Xenopus tropicalis: one gene and its partner. The protein of the gene in region 1 purifies or fractionates together with the protein of each later gene. This does not show direct contact. Links are inferred from orthologs where the notes say so. Each region holds a gene or a part of one and is shown on either strand. Other genes may lie near its edges.

Region 1 (3,500 bases):
AGTCTGATAAAAAATCAATAAACCATTAATCAAACCCAATAGGACTGTTCTGCCCCAATAAGGATTATTTATATCATAGTTGGGATCGAGTACAGGTACTGTTTTATTATTACAGAGAAAAGGGAATCATTTAACCATGAAATAAACCCAATAGGGCTGTTCTGCCCCCAATAAGGGGTAATTATATCTTAGTTGGGATCAAGTACAGGTACTGTTTTATTATTACAGAGAAAAAGGAAATCAATCTTAAAAATCTGAATTATTTGATTAAAATGGAGTCTATGGGAGACGGGTTTTCCGTAATTCTGAGCTTTCTGGATAATGGGTTTCCGGATAAGGGATCCCATACCTGTACTAGCATTTAATTCTCAATAATAAAAACAATGTTTAAGAATTATAGGCAAACAGACATATTTGTCTGTTAGATAGATAGACAGACAGACAGACAGGCAGATAGATAGACAGACAGACAGGCAGATAGATAGACAGACAGACAGATAGATAGATGATAGATAGATATGATAGATAGATAGATAGATAGATAGATAGATAGATAGATAGATAGATATAGATAGATAGATAGATAGATAGATAGATAGATAGATAGATAGATAGATATGCAAGACTAAATTATTTAGAATTAACAAAAAGTCTTACTTGCTGACTGCATGGCTTAATGCATAGAACGAAGCTCTGCTTGACTGATACTGGGCCATGTTGAGAAGTTCCCTTACACGTTTTGTACATGGAGAAGGTAAAAGGCCCAAACCGAAGGTTACAGTGTCACTTATGACTGGGGATATGTCTCCACTTCTGAGCACCTGAAGGATTCCACCGAAGCATTCAGGGGTCCCACACTGAGTCAATGCTTGCAGAGCAATAGGGCTGAAATTTTAGATATATCACATTAAATTCCATTTAACAAGATTTACATAAACATTTAGTAAAAATAATGATTATGTTCTTATCATGTATAAATATATATGAAATATAATCTACTTTTGAAGCTGTCTTCATGTGCATGCTACATAGGGCAAGTTATAAGAAGCCATACTGCCACCTAGTGGTCAATTTGCTTACAGCACAATTACCACCCAATATTCAACGCAACAAAGTACGTATGTATAACTTTATTTATAAAGCGCTAGTATATAAAATACAAAATATATAACCTCTAGCCAGTACCTGGATAGCTGCATTAGCCTGGGCACAAGGGGTCCTAGTGAGTCGTTATTCAGACCCCTTAAGGCTGTCACAAGCTTGTAAAAGCGACTGGCTCTCTGCTGGTTCTGTTCTGACGTGGATAGTTTCTGTAATTCCTGTAGGTTTTCCAATGCAGCATCTTCATTTTTGGACACTGTTTTTGTAGCCTCCAAGGCAAAGCCTCGTGCCAGACTGGTGTCTGAAACAAAGTTAAAAAAATGATTATATATAAATATATAAATAAAATATATATAAATAAATATATATAAAATAACTTAATTTTGCCCCCCAGTCTTTACCAGGAATTGAACACTCAAAAGACTCAAAGGCTACAGAGAATACTTGTACTGAGTATTGCCAGCTTCTCTCTTGCCTAATACCTAATGCTGAATCTTTTCTGATCTCGTCCCAAAATCCCCTACTAAGCTGTGGCCCAAGTGCTCAAATGGGTTTATTTTTGTACCTGGGTCAAAATCTCTGCTGTTGGTCTTGGCTACATCTTCCAGCTTCAGAGTCTGAGTGACTTTTCCATTTATGCCATACTGGTCTCTAGAGAAGGAAAAGGTTGAGATGCATTAAAAAAATGGCAAGTAGAAAACTTTGTGTATTTATAGGTTACAGCCAAAAATCAAACTTCCCCAGTGTTGGTAAGTAAACCCCAGTGCCTATTGGGACTTGGATTGGCAGCACGGTGGTTCAGTTGGTAGCGCTTCTGTGCTGGGGTCCTGAGTTCAATCCCAGTCAGGGAGCTATCTGCGGGGAGTTTCCTCTGGGTACCCCAGTTTCCTCCCAGATCATACAGGCAGCTTAACTGGCTTCTGACTAAAATAACCATAGTGTGTGAATGCAATAGAGACCTTAGATTGTAAGCTTCGTTGGGACAAGGACTAATTTGAATGAGGAATAATCTCTGTAAAGTGCTGCAGAAATGTGTTGGCGCTATATAAATAACAGGAAAATTAGATGAATTTCTCATTCCCTCTACCTTTCCACATTCTCTTTCTACTATACACTTAACTTCTCTTCTTGCCTGTTTCCTAAGTGTCACCCATGTGCCTCTCTCTAACTAACCAACTACCCCAGAGAGATAGAGAGATAGATAAATAGATAGTTAGATAGAGAGATAGAGATAGATAGATATATAGATAGATAGATAGATGATAGATAGAGAGATAGATAAATAGATAGTTAGATAGAGAGATAGATAGATAGATAGATAGGTAGATAGATAGATGATAGATAGAGAGATAGAGATAGATAGACAGATAGATAGATGATAGATAGATAGATAGATAGATAGATAGATAGATAGATAGATAGATAGATAGATAGAGAGAGATAGATAGATGATAGATAGAGAGATAGATAGATAGATGATAGATAGAGAGATAGATAAATAGATAGATAGATAGATGATTGATAGATAGATATATAGATAGATGATAGATAGATAGATAGATACATGATAGATAAATAGATAGATAGATGATATTACAACTCTATTACTCACCTGTATGAGAAGGGCAGGAAGAGGTGAGTCTCAGCACACGATGCCTCAGTAATATGCCTCCTCTTGGGATCCAGGCTGTACTGACAAACCTGACTGCTGCTGATCAGTGTAGACAATGGACGATTCTGTGAAGAAAACCATACAGGACAATCAGACTTCAATCCAGTGAAATATTTTAATGCCTGATCAATACATACATCAATCCATAGCATTGACTAGCATAGTCATTCTCGTTTTCTTAAAGCCAAGAAACCCATTATTATTATTAACATTTATTTATAAAGCGCCAACATATTCCCCAACGCTGTACAATAAGTGGGTTTCATAGACACAAGGTGTGGGAATGGGCATGACCAGAGTTGTGAGAGGTGTGGCACAGGGTGTTGCTAAGCTAGATTAGGGTAAGCCTCTCTAAATAAATGTGTTTTTAGAGATCTCTTGAAGGCAGAGAGATTGGGAGAAAGTCTGACAGTTTGTGGGAGCGAATTCCAGAGAAGGGGGGCAGCCCTTGCAAAGTCTTGACTTACCATGCCTTTAATGATTGCTAGGGGGTTGACATAATCTCTGATTGGTGTAAACCTGTCACAGGTCTTCAGATTCCTCTTGACCGTAACATCTGTCGGCGTGTTACCCTTTCGGCCTGTGACTTTAATCTCGCTGGTACATTTTCCATACACGGTATCCTGAGCAAGAAACGGGACATTCGGTATTAGTGATTCCCTCTAATGCATTATTGTAGGTGACATTTTATTGCTTTTTGTGCAGGCGTACAGTTAACATTCATCAA
Region 2 (2,908 bases), on another chromosome or scaffold:
AATCCAATCACGACTCGGCCACTAAAACTGCATGTAAATTTGGGTCCAGCGTTCTGATTCAGAAGATAAATCACCCCCCTCAGAATGACCCAGACATGCCGGCAAGATCACCGCAGAAATGGGTTCAGTGCATGGCGTTAACCCCACACGTGCCAGCGAGATCACCACAGAAATGGGTTCAGAGTATGGCATCAACCCCACAAGTGCTGGCCAGATCCCTGCAGAATTGGGTTCAGAGTATTGCCTTGCCCACACTTGCCTGTCTGCCTCTCTCTCTCCCCCCCCCCCCCCAGTGGAAGCTCTCACAAAGACAGTGGGGGCCCATGTTCCCCAGCAGGACAGACCCGACCCAGGTGGGTGCCCAGTAGCCACTCCTATTACACCCTACCCTGTATGGGGGGTCCGAGTGGTGCTCTGGTGCCACCTATATACCCACAGGTGAGGAGACATACAATAACCCCCCCCCCCACTCAATTACAAAGAGCAAAGAGACAGTCGCATTAGAGATCAGTCAGTTTATTGTCGAGACGCTCGAGCCTCCGTATTTCAATCCAACATGAAAAAAATGAAAGGAAAAAAACCCTCAGAGAATGTTTAATTTCTTTTATTCTGCTTTTCTCATACCCACAGGAGAGGGAGCGACCCAATCACAGCTGGAGAACCCTGCAACACCCTGGGGCCCCGCTGCCGCTCTATTAACCCTTTCACTGCCAGGGTGCCCGGCTACAAAGCTCCCCAGGCACGGTGGCAGCCAAAGGGTTAATCTTGGCATCGATTCCCCCAAACAGAACCAGAACCCAACAGAACCCACTTTGGATGAACAGTTGAAGGCAAAACAGCTGAAACTGGAGGAGTCAGAACCAGATCTGCAGGATCCTCCCCCCACAGGTGGTAAAAGGAGTCCAAAGTCACTCGGTGGGAGGGGCAGAACTTTCATTCCCCGCCCTCGACGCCGCGAGCACAGGGGCCGCTTGGGGGGGGGGGACGGGGAGGGAAAGGAGAGAAAAGTAAGAGTTGAAGGCGGAATCCTGAGAGACTTGGCTCTCCCCTTCTCACAGCCGTGTAACAAATCATAGGAGTGGGGGGGGTGCATCTACGCTGCCGGGACTGGGGAATGAAAAGCTGAGTGTCCATTAACGTAGGAATTTCTGCGCTGTACAACGAGGGGCGAGTCGGCCGACTCTTTAACCATACAGATCATCTTCTTCCTCGTTAAAATGGCTGCCGCCGCTGCCTCCGCCCGCTCCTTGGCTGGGACCGGCTCCACCTTGACCCCCGGCGGGAAATCTGACAGAGAGCAAATGCGCAGTTTATGTGGATGATACAAGCAATCGGTTGGGTGCCGTAAGGGTTAATATTGGGGATCAGGGTGCCGTAAGTGTTAATATTGGGGATCAGGGTGCCCAGCGCACCCCCCATGCCAGGGTCTGTAAGTGCAGTTACTCTGCACCAATAAGCACAGATAAAGCTTTTGTGCTGCAAAAATATTGTGTTTTGCCTTAGTGACTAGGGTGGCAACACATTATACAGCTGCCCATTGGGCAAGGTCACAGAGTGGACCCTTAGCGTCTCCGGTACCAGCCCCTGGCCCAGATTTGTATGATCAGAACCCCAAGCAATAACAGAGGCCTAAGGAGAGGTCACACTGGGAAATGACACCCACCAACGCACCAATCTGATCCCAACTCCTAACTAGAATTTTCTGTACAACTTTTGGCCATATATTGGTTAGGCTGGAGGGCCCCATACAGGGACCAATAAGCTGAAGTGAAGGGGCCACGCTGGCACTTGGCATAAGAGACGGCCCTCGCTGCTCAGCGTTACCTGAAGCTGCCGAATCCTCTGCTCTGCTGAAGGGTCTGTGCGAACATCTCGTATTTGCGAATGTCGTTATCGCTGACGGAGCGGCGGGCGAATCGCATGGCTTCTTCAAAGTGGTCTCTCCGGATTTCCGGTACAGGGTCGTCTTCTTCCACTTCCTGCAATCGGTGGGGGAAACAGAGAGAGGGGTCAGTAGAAGGCGAAACCCCCGGACCCCCAGGCTACGGGGGGCGCAGTGAGGCACAAACCCCAGAGACATCCTATAATACCCCCCATGTTCTGCCCCAATCACAGCGAGCGCCTCCTTACCATAGCCGAGGGGTTGGTCTGCCTCTCTCGCTCCCTTCGGATCTCATTCTCAATGGATTCCCTGATGGCCAGTTTGCAGGCACGCTGGCAAATCTCAGTCAGATCGGCACCGGAGAAACCATTGGTCATCTTGGCCAGGAAGTCAAGGTCCACATCCTGTTTAGAATCGCAGCAGGCGTCAGTAACTTACATGGAGCATGGGAGGTTTGGCCCCACAGAAACAGAACAATTAACTTTTTGTGCTGCACTTGGTTGCTAAAGCCTCCCACGACCATAGCAACCAGGCAGTGCTTTGAATGACAGACTGGAAGATGGATGGGTAATCTAAAGTCTCTATCATATACACACAAGGAACCAATTAAATGCCTTTTATTGGGTGTGGGGTGGGACCAATAAAGCCAGTTGGGCAATAAAAGGACATTCTGCCCCCTTCCTGGGTAATGACTTGCCTTGGCAACAGGAGACTTCCTAAGGTTGGCCTTCAGGATGGCAATGCGGGACTTCTCATCGGGCAGTGGGATGTAAATGAGCTGATCCAGACGGCCGGGACGCAAGATGGCGGGGTCGATAATATCTGGCCTGTTGGTGGCTCCAATGATGAAGACGTTCTTCTTTGTGGACATTCCATCCATCTCTGTGAGGATCTGGTTAATGACTCTGTCGGCGGCTCCACCACCATCTCCAATGTTGCCGCCTCGGGCCTTGGCAATGGAGTCCAATTCATCAAAGAAGAGGACACAAGGAGCGGCCTGCCGAGCCTGAGAGCAGAGGGGAAGAG

The links. The genes of interacting proteins can lie anywhere in the genome.
Region 2: the proteins of apob (region 1) and vcp purify together in Homo sapiens (affinity purification with western blotting, with the first as the bait; 3 studies listed by BioGRID). This does not show direct contact. The link is inferred for Xenopus tropicalis from reciprocal best matches to the Homo sapiens genes APOB and VCP.

What each region holds. Positions count from the first base shown.
Region 1 is NC_030681.2:143,945,930-143,949,429, forward strand, and holds part of apob (apolipoprotein B-100), read right to left. Parts: intron 3,397-3,500; coding exon 3,241-3,396; intron 2,839-3,240; coding exon 2,714-2,838; intron 1,753-2,713; coding exon 1,667-1,752; intron 1,403-1,666; coding exon 1,186-1,402; intron 886-1,185; coding exon 658-885; intron 1-657. UniProt on the Homo sapiens protein: Apolipoprotein B is a major protein constituent of chylomicrons (apo B-48), LDL (apo B-100) and VLDL (apo B-100). Apo B-100 functions as a recognition signal for the cellular binding and internalization of LDL particles by the apoB/E receptor.
Region 2 is NC_030677.2:212,815,676-212,818,583, forward strand, and holds the end of vcp (transitional endoplasmic reticulum ATPase), read right to left. Parts: intron 2,889-2,908; coding exon 2,580-2,888; intron 2,287-2,579; coding exon 2,131-2,286; intron 1,980-2,130; coding exon 1,825-1,979; intron 1,288-1,824; coding exon 1,185-1,287; 3' UTR 501-1,184; downstream 1-500. UniProt on the Homo sapiens protein: Necessary for the fragmentation of Golgi stacks during mitosis and for their reassembly after mitosis. Involved in the formation of the transitional endoplasmic reticulum (tER).